Saccharomyces cerevisiae S288C: one gene and its partners. The gene in region 1 interacts genetically with each later gene. Each region holds a gene or a part of one and is shown in the gene's direction. Other genes may lie near its edges. The genes, in order: KIN2, RHO3, YKL162C and BNA1.

Evidence for each region.
Region 2: of KIN2 (region 1) and RHO3, extra expression of one rescues a mutant of the other (dosage rescue), as found in Saccharomyces cerevisiae (one study listed by BioGRID).
Region 3: mutations in KIN2 (region 1) and YKL162C together harm fitness more than expected from each alone (negative genetic interaction), as found in Saccharomyces cerevisiae (3 studies listed by BioGRID).
Region 4: mutations in KIN2 (region 1) and BNA1 together harm fitness more than expected from each alone (negative genetic interaction), as found in Saccharomyces cerevisiae (2 studies listed by BioGRID).

What each region holds. Positions count from the first base shown.
Region 1 is NC_001144.5:329,931-337,760, forward strand, and holds KIN2 (serine/threonine protein kinase KIN2), read left to right. Parts: upstream 1-2,659; coding exon 2,660-6,103; downstream 6,104-7,830. Other genes in the region: IOC2 (Ioc2p), read right to left, coding at 1-2,185; SCF ubiquitin ligase complex subunit HRT3, read right to left, coding at 6,301-7,335; CHA4 (Cha4p), read right to left, coding at 7,597-7,830.
Region 2 is NC_001141.2:136,788-141,742, forward strand, and holds RHO3 (Rho family GTPase RHO3), read left to right. Parts: upstream 1-2,964; coding exon 2,965-3,660; downstream 3,661-4,955. Other genes in the region: RPI1 (Rpi1p), read right to left, coding at 1-1,090; pheromone-regulated protein PRM5, read right to left, coding at 3,826-4,782. UniProt on the Saccharomyces cerevisiae protein: Plays an important role in cell growth. Required to keep the uninucleated state. Modulates morphogenesis during bud growth via directing organization of the actin cytoskeleton and the position of the secretory machinery for exocytosis.
Region 3 is NC_001143.9:145,907-151,187, reverse strand, and holds YKL162C (type II protein arginine methyltransferase), read left to right. Parts: upstream 1-2,349; coding exon 2,350-3,558; downstream 3,559-5,281. Other genes in the region: putative protein kinase KDX1, read left to right, coding at 501-1,802. UniProt on the Saccharomyces cerevisiae protein: Arginine methyltransferase involved in the assembly or stability of mitochondrial NADH:ubiquinone oxidoreductase complex (complex I).
Region 4 is NC_001142.9:469,266-474,036, reverse strand, and holds BNA1 (3-hydroxyanthranilate 3,4-dioxygenase), read left to right. Parts: upstream 1-2,365; coding exon 2,366-2,899; downstream 2,900-4,771. Other genes in the region: YJR026W (gag protein), read right to left, coding at 1-1,277; methylthioribulose 1-phosphate dehydratase MDE1, read left to right, coding at 3,073-3,807; U4/U6-U5 snRNP complex subunit LSM8, read right to left, coding at 3,924-4,253; REC107 (Rec107p), read left to right, coding at 4,458-4,771.

The sequences.
Region 1 (7,830 bases):
TACTTGACATGTTTGCAAATGCATTATTAAACACTGGAGGTGAGACAGACTCGGTTAGTTCCCTTTTCTTTGCAAGCTCTTCGAGCCTTTTCTTTTCTTCCTTCATTTTTTTTCTTCTTTCACGGTCTTCCTGTTGTTTTCTTTGTTTGGCCCTTATTATTTTCAATTCAGGCACAAAAATGTTGCGCAGCTCAAGTTCCAAGTCCCTGATGCACCAAGCGCAGATAAAAGTGGAGCATTCAGACAGCGGTTTGCGTTTATCAGTAGGTCTTGAAGACTTGGTGCTGGGTTCAAGTGTGGATTGGGGTCTGCGAGAAGACCTTCTATTGCCGTGCGAATTTCCCATTATGATGACGCCAAAATCACGTTGCGACAGCGTGTGCTGTGGGGATTTTGTGGTTGAAGATATAAGCTCTATAATTTTTGGAGGTTGGCATTCCCAATGCTGCCACCTGTAACAATGATCACAGCATATCAATGGGCGGTTATTGAAGAGGTCAGTCTCCGTGTCTTCGGTGATAATCATGGGCGCCAGCTCTGGTTCGCCCGGACATTGGAAAACAGAATCTTGGTTGTCGGGCTCTTGCTGCGGAGTAAAGATCCCGTAGTTGGCAAGCTCATCTAGCTCTTCCTTTGTTATGCAGAAGTCACTAGGCAATTCAGGGACGTCTCCCGTCTGTAGTGGCCCAACAGTTCCAGGAATTGGTGGTTCCACCGGGATTATACTAGATTGAAAGTTAGGGCCGTGATCAAGAACTCCGATATCGATTTCATTTAAGGGATTGTCCTCCTCCCTGCCCAAAGACGTTTCAAAAAACGGTGTACCAGAACCACTTCTATCTTTGAGCTCGTTACGCCTGGTCAATTTTTCATCTCTATAATCTTGATCGTACAATTGCCACAATTGGTTCCAAAGAAGATCTTTTATCTTTTTGATTTCCTTCGACACTAGCTTGTTTCTGTGCCTTATAAATTGTTCTCTTTCATCTAGTTTTTCAAACCACTCACTTTCCAAGTCTTTTTTCTTGTTTTCTTCCTCTTTCGCTACCAGTCTCGAAGATCTTTTCCTCCTTGTCATTAGCTCCGCAATTGCTCTCTCCTTTTCTCTGTTGGCCAAAAGTTTTGCCGAATATAGTCTATGTTCGGCATACACCGGTATTAAGTTAGTTATGAACTCATCTATGGCTTTCGAACTTTTATTCTCTGACCAGTATTCTAGCATGGACCCCCAATTAGTTGTAATCACATCATAATCAATTGTAATCGATTGAAGATATGCATCGATATCGTGAGAGTACTCGAGATGAATAAGCTCCACTGAATCAGGAATGTCTGGGTCGCTTTCTTTTATAGTACAGTTCTGTAGTTTTATTGGGATATTCAGAGTTTGAGAGACTTGGGAGGAAGAGCCTTCTTTTACTCTGTGAATGGTTTTCTTTACGAGTACACCAACATTGGGTAAGGCAAACAAGCTCTTCATTTCCTCCCCTCCACTATTATCATCATCCAGTATAACTTCACTAAACGTAAACAGATGCAAGTTATTCGCTAAGTAGTTTTTGAAGATCATATTTTTCATTTCAATTAATTTTATGATACTGTAAATGATGTCGAATTGGCGTGCAATTTCAAGCTCCAAAAAAGGTAAGTCCGTAACCAAATCTGAATACGCGCTCGAGTTTTGCAAGTGATGGTTAACTATAACATTCCAATCTTTCAATTGCCCGCTTTTATTTCCCGCTAATTGATGCAATAATTGCAATCTAATTCTGTCGTACAAATTTTGCGATCCTTCATCTACGTCGACTTCATCATTGTAATAGTTCGAGTCCTTCCCGTCTATCTTCGAAAATACGTCAGTTACAAATACACCTTCATCGAATTTGATATTCTTCCACAAGCATTTGGTAGAGCTACCGCCATACTGGTCAGTATTAAATGTCGTTGTAGTATATGATTCGCAGACATTGGAAAGCCAAGCCATCACATACTGGAAGTGCCAGTGATTGGCCAAGTCCGCGATCTTCTCATCTAATATTTCAGAATACGGCAGCTGGTGCTTGTTCAATTGGGCTATTATGTCTTCGGAGACATATTCTTTCCAGTCTTCACTATCCGCATTCGCAGCGCCGGCAGGCATGCTCGCTCCTACATTTCTTGTACCCCTAGTTCTCTTCGTTCTCATCGATCGCTGATTCACCGCTTTGTATCTATATATGATTAGCCAGTGTGTATGAGTAAAATAGAGCAATTGATCTAGTTTCTTAGTCGTGTCACTATTGAATAAATAAATGTTAATGTTGCTGGAAAGGAAGAATTATGTCACTTTTGACGCTCTCGCATTCCGTGTGCGGTGATAGCGGTAACTTGGTCTAGCAACGAAAATTTAAAAAGGTTGGAAAAGGAAAAGAAGAGCTCAAGTGGACCTAGAAGTCCTGCTTTGCCACCGTTTAAGCAAGGAATAGAGCACGCCGTTGACACAAATTCACAGTCAAGGACGGGCCACGAGAACTTTATTACAAAATATACTGCATTACACGAAATTCAGCGGAACTCTGAGCGCGAACAGCATTAGGTACCGAGAAACGCTTTTCAAAAGAAATTTCTAAAAGTTTTATTGTGCCATTAATATCGCGGCTCAATTGTTAAGTATTTCACTATGCCTAATCCGAATACAGCAGATTACTTGGTGAATCCAAATTTCAGGACCAGTAAGGGCGGATCTTTATCGCCGACGCCAGAAGCTTTCAACGACACGCGAGTTGCTGCACCAGCCACTCTTCGCATGATGGGCAAGCAATCTGGACCAAGAAATGACCAGCAACAAGCACCACTGATGCCTCCTGCAGATATCAAACAGGGCAAGGAACAGGCAGCTCAGAGACAAAATGATGCATCGAGGCCTAATGGCGCCGTGGAATTAAGGCAATTTCATAGAAGATCTTTGGGAGATTGGGAGTTCCTTGAAACGGTTGGCGCAGGCTCTATGGGTAAAGTTAAATTGGTCAAGCATCGTCAAACAAAGGAAATTTGTGTAATAAAGATTGTTAATAGGGCTTCCAAGGCTTATCTCCATAAACAGCACTCTTTACCTTCCCCAAAGAATGAGAGTGAGATATTAGAAAGACAAAAGCGGTTAGAAAAAGAAATTGCGAGGGATAAAAGGACTGTTAGGGAAGCCTCTTTGGGCCAAATCCTTTACCATCCTCATATCTGTCGTTTATTTGAAATGTGCACTATGTCAAACCATTTTTATATGCTTTTTGAATACGTTTCCGGTGGACAGCTGTTAGATTATATTATTCAGCATGGCTCATTAAAGGAACACCATGCGAGGAAATTTGCCAGAGGTATAGCTAGTGCGCTGCAATACTTACATGCCAATAATATTGTTCATCGAGATCTGAAAATTGAGAATATAATGATATCTAGTTCAGGTGAAATTAAGATCATTGATTTTGGTCTTTCCAACATTTTTGATTATAGGAAACAATTACATACGTTTTGTGGTTCCTTGTACTTTGCAGCACCAGAACTATTAAAAGCGCAGCCATACACAGGACCTGAGGTAGATATTTGGTCGTTTGGTATTGTTCTTTATGTCTTGGTCTGCGGTAAAGTACCATTTGATGATGAGAACTCAAGCATTTTACATGAAAAAATAAAAAAAGGTAAAGTAGACTATCCTTCACACTTATCCATTGAAGTTATATCTTTATTAACCAGGATGATTGTTGTCGACCCATTAAGAAGAGCAACATTAAAGAATGTCGTTGAGCATCCATGGATGAACAGAGGATACGATTTTAAGGCTCCATCATATGTTCCTAATCGTGTTCCATTAACCCCTGAAATGATAGATAGCCAAGTTCTGAAGGAAATGTATCGCCTAGAATTTATTGACGATATTGAAGATACAAGAAGATCATTGATCCGATTAGTAACTGAAAAGGAATACATCCAACTTTCCCAAGAATACTGGGACAAATTATCCAACGCCAAGGGGTTGAGTTCAAGTTTAAATAATAACTACCTAAATTCAACGGCACAACAAACCTTAATACAAAATCATATTACAAGTAATCCATCGCAAAGTGGTTATAATGAACCAGATAGTAATTTTGAAGATCCTACTTTAGCATATCATCCATTACTATCAATATATCACTTGGTTTCAGAAATGGTTGCACGGAAATTAGCGAAGTTGCAAAGAAGGCAAGCATTGGCCCTGCAAGCGCAAGCTCAGCAAAGGCAACAACAGCAACAAGTAGCACTTGGCACTAAGGTCGCCTTAAATAATAACTCCCCGGATATTATGACCAAAATGAGGAGCCCTCAGAAAGAAGTAGTACCTAATCCTGGTATTTTTCAAGTGCCGGCAATTGGAACATCGGGAACCTCAAACAACACTAATACCTCAAACAAACCTCCACTGCATGTAATGGTTCCTCCTAAACTAACAATACCGGAACAAGCGCATACTTCTCCAACATCTAGGAAGAGTTCCGACATTCATACGGAATTAAATGGTGTTTTGAAATCAACACCAGTCCCCGTGTCTGGCGAATATCAGCAACGTTCTGCTTCACCCGTAGTAGGTGAACATCAGGAAAAGAATACAATAGGCGGCATATTCAGAAGAATATCACAAAGTGGACAATCTCAGCATCCCACACGGCAACAGGAACCTCTTCCAGAAAGAGAACCTCCAACATATATGTCAAAATCAAATGAAATTTCCATCAAAGTACCGAAAAGCCATAGTCGTACTATATCAGATTATATTCCTAGCGCTAGAAGATATCCATCTTACGTGCCAAATTCTGTTGATGTAAAACAGAAACCCGCTAAAAACACTACCATAGCACCTCCTATAAGGTCAGTATCACAAAAGCAAAACAGTGATCTTCCAGCTTTACCTCAGAACGCCGAACTAATTGTTCAAAAACAACGGCAAAAACTATTACAGGAAAATCTCGACAAATTACAAATTAATGATAATGATAACAACAATGTGAACGCTGTAGTCGATGGTATCAATAATGATAATAGTGACCATTATCTCTCCGTTCCGAAGGGTCGTAAGTTACATCCTAGTGCAAGGGCTAAATCGGTGGGGCATGCTCGTCGTGAATCTTTGAAATTTACTAGGCCGCCTATACCAGCAGCCCTTCCGCCATCAGATATGACAAACGATAACGGCTTTTTGGGAGAGGCAAACAAGGAGAGATACAATCCTGTTAGCAGTAACTTTTCGACCGTTCCTGAAGATTCTACCACATACAGTAACGATACTAACAATAGACTGACTTCGGTGTATTCTCAGGAGCTTACTGAGAAGCAAATTTTGGAGGAAGCTTCAAAGGCACCCCCCGGGTCTATGCCATCAATTGATTATCCAAAGTCAATGTTTTTGAAGGGTTTTTTCTCTGTACAAACAACCTCCTCTAAACCATTGCCTATTGTTCGTCACAATATCATATCTGTTTTAACAAGAATGAATATTGATTTCAAAGAAGTGAAAGGCGGGTTCATATGTGTCCAACAAAGGCCATCTATTGAGACTGCAGCTGTCCCTGTTATAACCACTACTGGCGTGGGTTTGGATTCCGGAAAGGCGATGGATCTGCAAAATAGTTTAGACAGTCAATTATCATCCAGTTACCATAGTACAGCGTCCTCAGCATCAAGAAATAGTTCGATAAAACGCCAAGGTTCTTATAAGAGGGGCCAGAATAATATACCACTAACACCTTTAGCGACCAATACACATCAAAGAAATTCATCTATCCCAATGTCTCCAAACTACGGAAACCAAAGTAATGGTACATCAGGGGAACTATCTTCCATGTCATTAGATTATGTTCAACAACAGGATGATATTTTAACAACATCAAGAGCCCAAAATATAAATAACGTAAATGGTCAAACAGAGCAAACCAATACTTCTGGTATAAAAGAAAGGCCTCCTATTAAATTTGAGATTCACATTGTAAAGGTTCGTATCGTCGGCCTAGCAGGTGTACATTTCAAAAAGGTTTCTGGTAATACGTGGCTATATAAAGAATTGGCATCGTATATTTTAAAAGAATTAAACCTATAGATACGTTGTTCTTACTAAATATTTCAACGTGTGTCTTTCAATTTTTATTATCTAATATTTATCTTTTTTTAATATTATAGTATAATTTATTTAAGCTGAGATCTGCTTTCTTTAATCTTTCATATGATGAAATAATAGTTCTACATAAATCTATAAGAATAATAAATAAAGTAAAACAACTGCAAAAAACATCGATGTCATCCAGGATCCTTGAAAGATTTCACTCTGGAGAAGAAAAAAGATTTCTCATTTCTCAACGAACAGTTAGATGCATTCCCTTCCTTATCCACTACAATTGAACTTAGCCATTTCAACCGTTGATATCTCTTATTGCCTTGATTCTTGATTTGGAATTCTTCGATAAACGTATACTTTTCATCTGACCTTGTTATCTTTAAATGACCAAAATCATAATCAAATCCGAGGCTCCAATAACACATATGACTATGCCTGGGTTTGTTCTCTTTGGAGAAGTGCTTCACGACAGCGCTAGGTTCATCTGTAGAAAGTAATCTCAAACATTGGCCGTTCTCATAAAATCTGAAATACCTGTAATAGGTGATCATGTGAACTGGCTTTAAAAGAGATAACGAACTTTCTGCATTGGAACCGTATCTTACATAATTTACTACACTGATGTAAACACCTTCGAATTTAATATATGGCCTTTCCCTTAACATACGATAATCATCACCCCGCCATATTTCCTTTTCAAAGGTATTTATATCGGTGATTCCGTTAAGATCCATTGCCATTTTGTCGTATATTTGCTTAGAATATATGTACTTCGCGAAAGTTTTAAATGGCACAGAATCGTGGAAGCAAAGCTTGCTAAAGGTGGAACAAGTCATCGACAAATTCACCCAAGATTCACCAGACATTAATATAACTTTTTTAATAATTCTCAGTAAAATGTCGTCAGGCAAGATTTCCAGAATCCAGCAGGGTTGAAGTTCAGCATTTTCTTCAACAGATAAGTCATCTTTACCGGTTTCATTTTGTTCATCTGGAGCATCAGTAGTCATTGATAATCCCGATAGTTTTTTGTGCAGCATCCACTCATCAAGTATTTTTTTTCTGTACAGTGATTCCACATTATCATGGATTTTCAATGCACTTCGATAGAAGTTTATAGCATCTGACATTGACCCATCCTTCTCTTTCAGTACACCTTTTTCCCAAATAGCAATAGCCTCTTTAGCCCTAGGGTCCTTTTCATAATCTACTATCATTTGCTCCTTGAGTTTAGCTTATGGAACACATGTGTCGTCGCCAAAGATGATGGGGAATGTTTGCTTTTATCTTGCTCAGTCGATTTCGCTATCTAGGAACTACAATCCTTTTTTTTGTCATTTGGAAGGCTCTTTAAAATTCCGAATCGATAAGTTCGGAGGTGGGAAAGGATAGCGGTATATTCCTTCCCAAATAAAAAGGCTACAAACACATTACATAAAGAATATTTGTTCAAGTAAACATATCCTCTTCACTCAAGATTACTTCGACAAACCATCATTGGTGTTTCCACCAATCAGCATATCAATCTCATTCAATAAAGTAAAGTCAAAATTGTACTCTAAGGCAAAATCGTTACCGTGAGATAGAGTCCCTAATAAATCCATAGTTTCTGAATTATGCAAAGCATCTTCAGAGTTTTCTATGAATTTTCTAGCAAGTTCGTAATTCAGGGTAGGCGCACTTAAAAAATTTAAGAAGTCTTGTTTTCTATC
Region 2 (4,955 bases), on another chromosome or scaffold:
TAGTGTTAAACATTGTTTGCCACATGTATATGACATCTGTAGAGAAAACTGGGGAAATTTGTTCTTGTTGTGCATCGCGCGGTAGCTGTATAGGCATTGTTTGCTGGAAAAATGGCGATGGTGGAGTTTGCAGGATTAGATTGTCTGCCGGTGCTGATGACAAAAGGGAAAATTGAGCCGGGCTAATGAAGGATGGTTCTCCTTTGGTATCCAAAGCTGGCAAAGATTCTAATTTATCGAGGTTGATACTTGACTGAATATGCTCTGGTGTACTAAAAACATTAGTACTATGATTACTATTCCTATTAATATTATTGCTATTATTATTGTTGCTATTGTTACTATTGTTAATATTATTATTGTTATTGTTACAATTATTATAATAATGGTTATTAATATTATCATTAGTACCATTCTTGTTCGGCTTCAATGTTTTTTGCGACTTGAGTATAATGTTTCCGTTTACAAAACTAAAAGTGTTTTGTAACTGCACTAGCAAATACTGCATTCTAGATAATTTTGACGGATCAAAATTTAAGTTTGAGCCTGCCTCTTGTTTTGATTTTTTTTTCTTTTGCTTGGATTTCTTTGATGGATGCACTTTCAAAGACTTTGTGTATAAGACTTTAAATCTATCATGACATTGACGAGAGTTTCTCTCGTACCCATATTGTTGGAATAGGATTTTTGAAATTTTTTTCCAAAAATTCTTCATAGGCTTGAAATATTCTACGAATGTTAGTAATTGAGAATTATTCATTATTGTAGTAATGAATGCTATATCCTCAGGCTCTTTCCATTTTTTCCTTATCTGTCTTGCAGACGAGGAGGATGAATTAGAGTTGTTTAGCTCATTTTCGTCAATAGAGCCTGAGTTGGAGTTGGAGTTCGAATTAGAATTGGAGTTCGAATTCGAATTTGAACTGGAAATTATTCTTGGAGTAACTAAAGAGCAGTCCGAACCCGTTTCTTCATTAAAATTTGAAGTAATGGGTGTGTTTAAATTTGGTGAATAATCAGGGAAATTTTTGCTTATAGTGCTAGACTCATCCATTAGGTTCAACTTCGGTTGAAGATATTCCAAGTACATTTTATAAATATCAGTAATAAAATGATGAGAAAAAAAAAAAAAGACTTAAAAAAAAGGACTGAGAAATAGTTAAACGAATACGATAATATGATATACTACCATGAACTGTAGTCTGGATAACCAAACGGAAAAAAAGGAAATACAAAAAAAGTCAGATTGTAAGGAAAAAAAAAGAGTAGTTTCAGTATTACGAAAACTATTAGATCTTTCTTTAATTTGAACAAGAAAACAAGACTATAAAAAAAAATACTCTTTAGGATGCAGACATAAAAGAACAATACGACCGTCCCTTATTTATATATAGTCCATAGAAATAATCTCAACCAATATAATATGCAAGAAAATAACGAAGTAAGGAACAAGCACAATGGTACGCCCGGTCTTGAAAAAGTTTAAAACAGTACTCGACCCTAGGCGCTAGGGTGGGTGACGCATTTTAACTTTGCAACAGAATGCCATATGCGGTGTTAACCTCACAAGATCGGCTCTACTATCTGCAAGCTGCGGCAAATACCAGAGAAAATTCCATTCCCGTCGACAAAATTTAACCGACCCCCCCCCCCCCCAATTTACGTTTATCAGCTAATCCAAATGTGGAAGGGCAACATTCTCGACGACTCCTTTTTCCGTAATTTAAGTTTGCCCAGGCAAAATCTTATACTTGTTTTCGTAAGAGAAAGATGCGCAGATCCTTTAAGGTTACCTTCAAGCAAATCCAGAAGCACAAATGGCAGGGGAGAAAAGACATGAAGCAGGAGTAGTCAACCGCAAAAACCCCCGCGGGCTTGTTGTTCTGCACATTTTTGATGTGTTTGTTCCTAAGACAAAGTCCTAACTTAGGGTAGTAAGTGACTATATTCTGCACGCTCTTAAAGCAGCCACCTCGTTTAATTTTGCATGCTTATATAAGCTTATAAACGAAGTACCTGAGGACCTGCATCGGCCGGCCCATGTGAAAAGGAAGTATTTACTTTTTCTTCTTCTTTACTATGGAAATAGCTGGAATCCGACTATGCATATGCGTAAGAAAAGAAAATGAAGGAGTTTTCACAGGAAAGCACACTTGCATACTGGGCACAAGTGAGGAGAGGGGCCTGTAATGCTTCTGTGTTTAAAAGACTCCGAAATTAGTCAACGCAGATTTGCAGATGCACGCAAGAATACATAATCAATCACAGTAAGCACATCTCCCCAAGGAAAGAGTAAATGCCTTCGAGCCAGCATTGTGGTCATGCGAGATGTCTAAGAAAAATACTTCGATAAGCACGAGGAAATGTAATATGTCTATCTACCTTATTTTTTTTACAATAAACATATAATAAATCCCTTATCTGGTCACGTGAATTAAACTTCGGGTGTGTTGTAAGAATGGAAGGAGTAAGCGAAACTCAAATTGAGGCCACTTACCACTTCCGGTCGAGCCCGGCCCAGAACCAGTCGTCGGCCAACTTTTTTCTTGGAACAGCGTTACCGCACCTACGCGAGAAATAGTAGATTATAGATAAGAAATACAAGGAGAGGGGTGTGGATGAGCTTTTTTACAAAATAGTGTAAGGCGTCCGGGAAACCCCAAGAACGTTTTTTGACATCCACTAACAGGATTACCCGTCATAGATATACTGGTGCCATTACCCGTTAATGGCATCTTGTATATTTCTTTTATCTTTCTTAACATTCCTGAAAATTGGTAAACAGTAAAAAGAAAAGAAAAAGAAAGAAAAAACATGTATTATTTTGAATTTACTGGAAAATAGGCAACCATTGATTTTCGTTTTTTTATCGTTCTCATCTCTAGCTCTGGTCAGCATTTTTTACTTTATAACAACAAGTTTTTCATTAAAATCCATAGTAGCACAAGGTAAAGGGAAACAAACATGTCATTTCTATGTGGGTCAGCTTCAACGTCAAATAAACCGATCGAAAGAAAGATCGTTATTTTGGGCGACGGTGCCTGTGGTAAAACTTCGTTGCTGAATGTTTTCACCAGAGGTTATTTTCCCGAAGTTTATGAGCCTACTGTTTTTGAAAACTATATCCATGATATTTTCGTTGACAGTAAACATATCACGCTATCGTTGTGGGATACTGCGGGCCAAGAGGAATTTGACAGGTTACGATCCTTGTCTTATTCAGATACGCAATGTATAATGTTATGTTTCAGTATTGATTCACGCGATTCTTTAGAAAATGTCCAAAATAAATGGGTGGGTGAAATCACTGATCATTGTGAAGGCGTCAAGTTAGTCTTAGTTGCACTAAAGTGTGACTTAAGAAACAATGAAAATGAATCTAACGCAATCACACCGAACAATATCCAACAGGATAACAGCGTTTCTAACGACAACGGAAATAACATAAATAGCACCTCAAACGGCAAAAACCTGATAAGTTATGAAGAAGGTCTAGCTATGGCTAAAAAGATCGGTGCGCTACGTTATTTGGAATGTAGCGCTAAGCTGAATAAAGGTGTCAACGAAGCTTTCACAGAAGCCGCAAGAGTTGCTTTAACCGCGGGCCCAGTAGCAACCGAAGTGAAAAGTGACAGTGGATCCAGCTGTACCATTATGTAATATAATAAGACACGGACGCACACACAAAAGAATAGAACCCAAAAAGAGAGACTAAACAAATAATATAATAAGTTATAGAAGTTAATAATACTCCTACTATTTTATATTTTTTATGTAATTACTACCACTGCTTAAAAAAAATATTGCAAAATATCATAAAAGTTTTTACTCATCCTGTTCTTTCCCCTCCAGCATGTGCTCGAGATAAGTCGAAGGTGTAGGTTTTCTTTTGGACTGTACGACCAACAAATTACCCTTACTATGGTTACGATTTACGCTACCATCACTTTCTGGTGAATTAAGCAGCTTTCGACTTGGTGAAGATGCAATTTTTGCGGGTTTCCTTATGTCTTCACCCACCTCCTTTTCATTACCGTTATCGAGCGACGATGCGGATGATGAAGAGATTGTAGACACCAGAGAATTTGTAGATACATTATCACTTGTCATAATCACAGGTTTCTGTAATAATCTAGGGCTTTCTTGGTAAAGTTTAGATAGCCTTGTTTTGTATAAGATATCACCTGTTGGTGAAATGAAAAGTGAATTTCTGTTGGATTCGGATGCAAGAGAGAATAGCGGCCTTTCGAAATTACTTAAGAATGGTTTTTCATTATTAGTATGAGATACAAGTGCATCTTTCACCGATTCATCCTTATTTCCGGGACTAATATCGGACTCGCTGATATGGACCTGATCTTGGAAATTTTCTTTGGCGGGATAATCCATATATGGGGAATCGCCGTAAAACTGGGTATGTTGTGTGGAAAACATCTTTGATTCGTAGTCCTGAACACTTCTGGTCAACCTATGCGAAGAATAAGTTGTTATTACCCACCATAGCAATATTGCCAAAAAAATCACTCCCGCGATTCCCCCCACTACAATGAAAACTGTTCCATTAGGCATATCCCCGGAATCCAAAATATAAGGATTACCATTTCTAGAGGGAGGAGTAATACTTGGTATAATAGAAGAGGATGTAGAGTTGGACAAAAGTGGTAAAGAAGATGAAGAAGAAGCAACAGATGTTATCGTACTACTTGAACTGGCAGTTGTTGTCGAAGAAGTGGAAGTGGTTAATTTTGGAAGGCCTCTCTTGGCAATGGTGATTACTGTCATTCTTGCGTTTTGAGTGTCAATTTATTCTATTTTCAACGACCTTTTAAAGTAATAATGAGTGCTCTTGACTTAACTCTAATGCTATAACTGTTTCTTTGCACCGATGCGTTCCTTTGAATGATCTCAGGTAATATATTAAATATTTTTCAAATGTCTTTACCACATTCTTCAGT
Region 3 (5,281 bases), on another chromosome or scaffold:
AAATATTTCTACCAGCATGATTATTCGTTACTTGAAAGTCCCCAATAAATTTCACTGTTTCCGTTAACTGTTGTAGTTATTAAACGCAGCAAACAGATTATTTTGAACAACACCGGAGAAACACGCGCAGACCCATTCGAGTTAAAAATAGTAACTCGCGATCAATCAATGCAGGAAGCACCGTAGGAATTAGTAAGAACTCGTATTTTGATTGAAAATGCCATGAAAGCAATTGACTTGCTGCAGTAAAAAGCGCTGCCACAAACTTTGTAATTTTCGACAATGACGTTCTTTTCAGATGGTTACTGTCTTTTTTTGGAAGAAACAAAAGAAGGTACTTTTATGATGTTATACTAGGCAAAAAGCCTATTTAATGTAAGTCCTAATTGTCGTTTGAGACTGGATGAAAAGGGACAAAATGGAAGGATAACTAAAGGTGACTTACCGCCAGATTAATTCGGCCTGGAATAGTTTGATATCGAAGAAAGATTCACAATTAAATGGCGACTGACACCGAGAGGTGTATTTTCCGTGCATTCGGCCAAGATTTTATCCTAAATAAACATTTTCATTTGACAGGTAAGATTGGTCGGGGCTCACACAGCCTTATTTGTTCTTCAACTTACACAGAATCGAACGAGGAAACTCACGTGGCTATCAGAAAAATACCAAACGCGTTTGGCAATAAACTATCTTGCAAGAGAACTCTTCGTGAATTGAAACTACTAAGACATTTAAGAGGGCACCCAAATATAGTGTGGCTCTTCGATACTGATATAGTATTTTACCCAAATGGGGCACTAAATGGCGTTTATTTATATGAAGAACTAATGGAATGTGACCTTTCTCAAATTATAAGGTCCGAACAACGCCTGGAAGACGCACACTTTCAAAGCTTCATATATCAGATACTGTGTGCTCTGAAATACATACATTCTGCTAATGTTTTACATTGTGACCTGAAACCAAAAAACTTACTTGTTAATAGTGATTGCCAACTAAAAATTTGTAATTTTGGGCTATCGTGTAGTTATTCAGAAAACCACAAGGTTAACGACGGCTTCATTAAGGGTTATATAACCTCGATATGGTATAAAGCACCAGAAATTTTGCTGAATTATCAAGAATGCACAAAAGCTGTCGATATTTGGTCAACAGGCTGTATCTTGGCCGAACTACTTGGTAGGAAACCAATGTTTGAAGGGAAGGATTATGTAGATCATTTGAATCATATTCTACAAATACTTGGAACACCACCTGAGGAAACATTGCAGGAAATTGCCTCTCAAAAGGTGTATAATTATATCTTTCAGTTCGGTAATATCCCGGGAAGATCGTTTGAAAGCATACTACCTGGTGCTAATCCAGAAGCGCTTGAATTGCTAAAGAAAATGCTAGAATTTGATCCTAAAAAAAGGATTACTGTAGAGGATGCACTAGAGCATCCATATTTGTCAATGTGGCATGATATAGATGAGGAATTCTCATGTCAAAAGACCTTTAGATTCGAATTCGAGCATATCGAAAGTATGGCGGAATTAGGAAACGAAGTTATAAAGGAAGTATTTGATTTCAGGAAAGTTGTTAGAAAACATCCTATTAGCGGTGATTCCCCATCATCATCACTATCTTTAGAGGATGCCATTCCTCAAGAAGTTGTACAGGTCCATCCTTCTAGGAAAGTTTTACCCAGTTATAGTCCTGAATTTTCCTATGTAAGCCAACTTCCATCACTAACTACAACCCAGCCATATCAAAACCTTATGGGAATAAGCTCTAATTCATTTCAGGGTGTTAACTAAAAGGAAAACACCTTCAAACAAGATACTAAGCATGAAAATAGTGAACTACTGAACGGACCTACTGAGCCAAATATAACAAAAATGAGCCCAGTTTCATCGTCTCCCCCAGGTCACGATATAAATGTCAATGATGGTACAAACCAAAATACAAATGAGGATGACAGCGATTTTTTCTTCGACCTAGAAAAAGAACTTGAATTATTTAGACGATAAATTTTTGTAGCAGAAAACCACAACTAATAGATGCGCACATACACTATCTATAATGAATATGTAAAATGCCTGTTCACCTTCTTAATTATTGGTATATACTTCAAATATTGCAAAAAGAGAAAGTCCTCTCGGCGGTTTTGCAGTTCCTTCCGAAAGCGGGAAAAACCAAAATGTGAGAAAGTAGGATACACCATTGCGTAGATTCGCGATGATCCGAATATAAACATGATTCCCTCGTCAGTCCTCTCTCAAGTTTTCTTTCCCGTTTTAAATAGCTTACTAATATTTTCACAAAAAAGTTGATATCATTTAAAGGTGCTTTTGGCGGGATTGAATGATGAAAAGATTACACCCCTTGAGAATTCAAGTTCATCTGAAATCTGATTACCCACTGTTTACTTTCGAGCAATTACTCTCTACAAATGGGATAAGAAGAGGCCAAACTGCGAGAATTTCTTTGAAAGATTACATAGAGTGGCAAAATTTCCCAAACATAATGAAAAGAGAAAATTTTTTTACGCAAAGGAAGCCTGTAACTACAACCGCAAAAGAAGAACCCTTTTCATTTGATAACATTCTTGACTGTGAGCCACAATTTAGCAAATGCCTTGCCAAATGGCTACTGGTTAATTACAAATTAAATGACTATCCTTATTACGATCTTAACATTGTGAATATTTACACGGATTTACCCCAAGCAATTCAGATTTGCAAAAATTTAATGTCATATCTCAAGTCTACTTTATCTGATAACATGTTCCAGAAAATAAAATATTTCATGGTACCTCTATACAAGTGTGACAAAATACCTTCGAAGCTCTTAGACGGAATACCTGGATCAGTCAGTTTGGTACAAGATTATCCGGTTTCCCCATATTTTTTACAGAAAAAATTTCACATAGAGGATCCAATCCAAATTTTGATGCTTAATGATGTTATAAAATACACAACCCACGATTTAGTAAGGTACTCTTCAGATGACAAAGGGTGGCAACAGTGCTTTGTGGATATCAATAAGAATGGACAAAAATCCAAGAGCTTTGATAGCGCCATTGACTACTCATGTGAACTTGCATTAGAACAAATGTTCAATGATCGATCCCATGTAAGTCCTGGTAAAGAACTTTATATCCCCACTAAATTAATTGAGATATTGATGACAATCAAGAATAATATTCCAGAACATAGACTTTTCATTGTAGACACCCCGCAAAGATCGAGCCCAACAATAATATCGTTATTAAAGAGTTTAATAAGCCCACGGCCGACGGGATCTAGCCAGATAGTACAGCCATATTCGGATTCAATATTTTCAGACAAACGGAGTGGAAGAATATGCTTCATGACGGACTTCTTACAGTTACAGAACATTTATAATGGTATTAACAGTTCTTCTAGTAGCTGCGAAGTCGAAGACGTTGCTGATTTTGTTGAAAAATGGATTAGCCCAAGTGAGAGAAGCACACTTTCGTCGCAGAATGGAAATAGGCCTCAACTAGAAGACATAAAAAATAGCTCTTTGGCGGTGCTACACTCCACGTGATTTCTTTTATTTCGTTGAATTAAAATGAAGACGTTTTTTACAGTAAGCGACCTTAATCTTTGTTTCTATTATCTACACTTTTACGTTTAGTATATTCATTTCATAGGCAGTAGGCATTCTTTTAAGAAAAACATAGCGCGCATATCTTCTCCTCTTTTGTTTCGCAACTCCCAAACAAGATATCAATTTCCCACCACTCTAACGAATGCGAATAGTAACCCCATATTTAAATAATACTATAAGGGTATTCGTACGAGGTAGGATTTTCAGTAGACCAAATAGCCTTCAACGACATCATAAGTACACACTGAGTCTAAGCATTGAACTTTCATATGAATATATGGGACTATAAGAGATGGGTGTGAAGAGAAAGACAAATTTGGGTTGAAGAGTTATAATTAGCCTTATGCAGGTCTCGCTCGCATATTCTTAACTCAATAGGAGCAATTTCTTCCATAAGCTTATATCCATATCCGGTCATTTTCTTCATTTGTGCCTGTAAACGCATATGATTTTTTTTTCTTAGGCACGTTCTGCGTGAAAATTTCCTGTTGCGGATGAGTAAGGTGTTCGTTCTACTTCAAAACTCCGTCGCAAATTTAAGTTTAATCTTGTAAATTGCCTAATACGTCATACGTCAATACATGATTCGCGTTCTTTTTTTTCCATCTTGCTAACGCGAACCTAAACGGTGCGACAAAAAGCCACTGGGCTTAATCGCTTAACAGAGCTACCGATTCTGCTTGATCTATTGACAATTTAACGTAGACTACGTAAAAAGTATATATGCATATATTAATCGATGCCTGCGCAATGTTGCTAACACTTTTCCACTTTATGTCGCTATCTTGCCCTCTTTAAGGAAGTTGCATCCTTTTATTTAGTATATTTTTTATATTCACAGAAGTTCAGAGAGTAAAAGTACAACATAATTACTAAATGGTGTCTTTTTCGGGAAAGGAAAGCCATGTAGCCCAAATATATTGGTTTGATAACAGTTTCACTATACTGTTTCTGCCCAACAGTATATGCCAAGTGAGCCATGGTCAACCTTAACTCCTTCTGCTACTACCTCATGCGGCGCTACTGAATTTACTTCCTTCTTCGGTATCACTGTCCAAACAATTACAACAGGATCTACCACGGTTAAGAGAGACGTTTTTTCTTAGATCGTTGACGGCCAAATTGAAATCATTGCTATCCCCACAAAAAACAGTGCATGTACTTTGATTAGTAAAAAAAATACTGAATCACGACCACTTTAATCGGAACCTACATAGATACGATTAAAGAGGGAGCCACAGCAATCACTGTTACTGACTTCTCTATTTATTCCGATAAAAAAAGCACCTCTACATTGCCGTTATCGCTTAGTATTTCTTCTGCCATCTCTTTTTTCTTTTCTTACGTTACATGTCAAGGCATTGCTGCTGTTTCTAAAAAAAAAGCTGTCGTAGCAGTGACAGCGCTTTGAAAGTAACTTTGAAGAGCGGCATTTTGACAGATAGCAAGGGCAGCATCTGTTCTACTGTTGCCAACAGACAATTCCAATTCGATGACCCTCCACCACAAGTTGGTGTTATCTATGCTCCTGGGGTTGTCTATCACACCAGAAGGGGATCTGCCCCTTAGTGGCCAAGATATCTTTTATCAATACTCGTTCAGCAGTTTTTACAATATACACGACGAAAGGATTAGAGAACAATGAAGTTAAGTCTACCTA
Region 4 (4,771 bases), on another chromosome or scaffold:
TGAATCGGTTCAGTAGTTGATTTACTGATGGAATCGTTGTCCGTGCTGGGAGAGTTATTAGATGTGGATACATTGTGAGCCCTGGCTGTTTTCGATTTCGAATTATTTGTTTTTTGAGGATTCCGAGCTATAACTTTGGGTTTGGTTGTATTCGTATAGCTGCGAGAATCATTCTTCTCATCACTCAGATTTCTCCTGTAATTAGGTTTGCTGTTTCTCGATCCCTGTTGTTCTTCATAAATAGCATGGATATCTAAGAACAGTTCAGCGACTGTCATATTTAGATGTCGATGACGTGTGTAGCGTAAAAATTTATATTCGCCAGATAGACCTCTCATAATTAATTGGCATGCGACCTTGTTATTGATATGAATGCCATTATTGTTCAGTCTGTCGATAATGTTTGTGACTTTTGTTTCAAATGCATCTGCAGGTGTACTGCCATTATATTGCAAATTTGCCAGGGTCACAATGTCGTTTGCCTCTTGGGTATCAGATTGCATTTTTTCAATACTTTTGGAAAGAATTTTCATGATATCCGTATAATCAACGGATAGGATGTCTTTGACCCAGGTAGGTAGGAATTGAGAGGGAGCAAATATTTGAAAAGTGTTATACAAGAAGGTGAGTTCATCATCAGTGATCTGACGTACGGGTTTTCCGTTTACTGTCGGAATAATACCACCGAGATTCGAGTTTTGTAAAAATTTGATGTATGTTTTAACCCAATTTGGAAAGTCATTAGGTGAGGTTAACATTGGTGGTGGTCTGACATATTTTTTAGTGGATGTCATATCAGAGTCCGCTGAGGATGAATCAGTAAATGTATTACCTGACTCAGGTGATGGAGTGCTCAGAGGCGTTCCAACTGATGATGGATACTGCGGAAACTGTGATTGTGGCCCAGGTGGAAAGTACATAGGCGACATTTGATAAGGTGTATACGGAATCATAGATGGGTGTCCGTAAAATGACCAACCAGATGGATTGGCTTGGTTTTGGGTCATCATGCACTGCTGTGGGTACGGCCCATTCTGTGGAGGTGGTACTGAAGCAGGTTGAGGAGAGGCATGATGGGGGTTCTCTGGAACAGCTGATGAAGCAGGTGTTGTTGTCTGTTGAGAGTTAGCCTTAGTGGAAGCCTTCTCACATTCTTCTGTTTTGGAAGCTGAAACGTCTAACGGATCTTGATTTGTGTGGACTTCCTTAGAAGTAACCGAAGCACAGGCGCTACCATGAGAAATATGTGAATGTTGAGATAATTGTTGGGATTCCATTGTTGATAAAGGCTATAATATTAGGTATACAGAATATACTAGAAGTTCTCCTCGAGGATATAGGAATCCTCAAAATGGAATCTATATTTCTACATACTAATATTACGATTATTCCTCATTCCGTTTTATATGTTTATATTCATTGATCCTATTACATTATCAATCCTTGCGTTTCAGCTTCCTCTAACTTCGATGACAGCTTCTCATAACTTATGTCATCATCTTAACACCGTATATGATAATATATTGATAATATAACTATTAGTTGATAGACGATAGTGGATTTTTATTCCAACAGCAACATGTTAAAACGAAAGCTGATGTTTGGAAGCCGTCTCGAGTAGGCTATACCGACATATTTTCCCAGGAATATAAAGGAATTGTTGTTGCGATAAAGTTTGTGATCTGTTCTGATGCTGAAGGAACCTTGTACCCGAGAGAGTATAACTCCCGTCTCCATGATGTAAAAAGACTTGGGAGAACAGGACTGTCATTCACAGATAAAAAGGAGGCGTATTTACTCGAATTTAAAAACCAGGACGTTGTAGATCATGTTCATAAGTTAATCTTGCCTTTTAACACATCTTGGCAATCTAACTAGATTCGTCCAATTGTATTTTTACTTCAATAATCTTACATAATAATAAAAATTTTTCTATTTGTCCAAAAAAAAAAAAAATAAATAAAATAAAAAAAGCTACCGTAATTCATGCGTACAGTAACTGGCTTCCTTACTATACCAAGTTTATTCTTTGATTGCGCTGCCAAAATAGCCTGTCAAAATTTGCGCGGATGTATTTTCGACGTCAACGGTGCCATTATTTTTCTGTCACTGACACCTGTACTCCTGAACGGGTATCGGCATTTAGAACGCTGCCTCCAAATGTCTGGTGAACGTTCGTGAATATTCAGAGTGTCGTTATTGCAATGGAATGGCTGCCTTTGTGACGGCGTCAGGATAAATTGTGAGTCACTGAAACATATTCGGCAAAGTAAAAAAACGGACGTAAAAGATTCTTTCTTTATTCTTTTCACGACAGTCTACAAGTAACTGAAATAGCATACATTTACCAAAAAAATCGAAAAAAATGTTTAATACTACACCAATTAATATCGACAAATGGTTGAAGGAGAACGAAGGCCTTTTGAAACCACCGGTGAATAATTATTGCTTACATAAAGGGGGATTCACTGTGATGATTGTCGGTGGGCCTAATGAAAGAACCGGTTATCACATCAATCCAACTCCCGAATGGTTCTATCAAAAAAAAGGATCTATGCTTTTAAAGGTTGTGGATGAGACAGACGCTGAACCAAAGTTCATTGATATCATCATCAATGAAGGCGATTCATATTTATTGCCAGGAAATGTTCCTCACAGTCCTGTTCGGTTTGCTGATACTGTGGGTATTGTTGTGGAACAAGATAGGCCTGGGGGAGAAAACGATAAGATAAGGTGGTACTGTTCTCATTGTCGCCAAGTGGTCCACGAGAGTGAACTGCAAATGTTAGACTTAGGTACCCAAGTGAAAGAAGCCATTTTAGATTTTGAAAATGATGTCGAAAAGAGGACATGTTTCCATTGCAAGACGTTAAACTACGCACGCCCTCAATCTAATTAAGTATTAGAAGAGTTGTTAGTTGTACTTTTATAGCTCTCTTGTTACGTAAGATTGCGGCACTAAGATGCGGTGCCAATTTTTTTTTTTTTTCTCTTGATCAAAGCAGCTAGCTGTTCATCAAGATATGTAACGTTTTTAAGCACTGAACTAACAAGGGGAGCCAGTGAACGACTATGTCTTCACAAGATGTTCTGATACATTCAGATGATCCGTGCCATCCAGCAAATCTCATTTGCACGCTATGCAAGCAGTTTTTTCATAATAATTGGTGCACCGGAACTGGAGGTGGGATTTCAATAAAAGATCCTAACACGAATTATTATTATCTCGCCCCATCTGGGGTGCAGAAGGAGAAGATGATACCTGAGGATTTGTTTGTCATGGACGCTCAGACATTAGAGTATTTGCGCTCTCCCAAGCTTTACAAGCCAAGCGCATGTACTCCATTGTTCTTAGCGTGCTACCAAAAGAAAAATGCAGGTGCTATAATACATACACACTCCCAAAATGCTGTGATATGCTCCTTGCTATTTGGCGATGAGTTCAGGATTGCTAACATCGAACAAATCAAAGCAATTCCAAGCGGAAAGGTGGACCCTGTGACCAAGAAACCCATGGCGCTATCGTTTTTTGATACGCTGAAGATTCCCATCATTGAAAACATGGCGCATGAGGACGAGTTGATCGATGACTTGCACAAGACTTTTAAAGATTATCCAGACACATGCGCCGTAATTGTGAGGAGACATGGCATTTTTGTTTGGGGTCCGACAATCGATAAGGCCAAAATTTTCAACGAAGCCATCGATTATTTGATGGAGCTGGCCATAAAGATGTACCAAATGGGGATTCCTCCCGACTGTGGCATTGGCGAAGAGAAGAAGCATCTGAAGATGGCCAGTCCGTGACGGGTTAATGCTTAAATTTATTGTATGATTTATATACTTCTATACATGGTATTATTATTATTATTATTATTATTATTATTATTATTATTATTATTATTACTATTATTGCAACTATATTATTTTGTCTTTGATTCGTACACTTTTTCCCATATTACATGCTCATTTTCGATTTTATTCTTGGTGTCCTTTAGCATTGGGACCTTCTTTTCGTCTATAGGAGCTAGACTGTCATCATTTTCTGCATCTATGAGGCCAACAAGAGCAATCTCGCTGCCTCGAAGTAACTGTGCCTTGCAGATGAATTCCTTGCTTATGCGGTTGAAAACATTGGTTATGAATAGATTAGTATTTTTGTCGAAGCCGTTTAGGCTTGCTATGAGGCATTCGCCGTCAACTTTGATTATAACAACTCTTTTATTTAAGTAGTCTTTCAAGGTGGCTGACATGGTGCACGATAGTGTGTTCTTCTTGTATGGTGTACTGTATGCAGCTTGCTGGTCCATCTTATAAGAACCACGTAAGATTAGTTTTTTTTTTTCCCTTTACGCCATGATAGTATTTTCAGGACTTAAAGGGAAAATCAACAAGAACAGAAAGAAGGAAAACAAGCAAAACAAGGATACTGCAGACGTGTAGAAACATTTAGTAAAATGGTCGCTAGAGGTAGAACAGACGAGATATCTACAGATGTTTCAGAGGCTAATTCTGAACACTCGTTGATGATTACAGAAACATCATCACCGTTCAGATCTATATTCTCCCACAGTGGGAAAGTAGCGAATGCAGGCGCTTTAGAGGAATCGGACAAGCAGATACTGGAATGGGCAGGTAAACTGGAATTGGAGAGTATGGAGCTGAGGGAAAACTCTGACAAGCTAATTAAAGTTTTAAATGAAAATTCTAAGACATTATGTAAATCGCTAAACAAGTTTAACCAGCTACTGGAACAAGATGCTGCTACGAA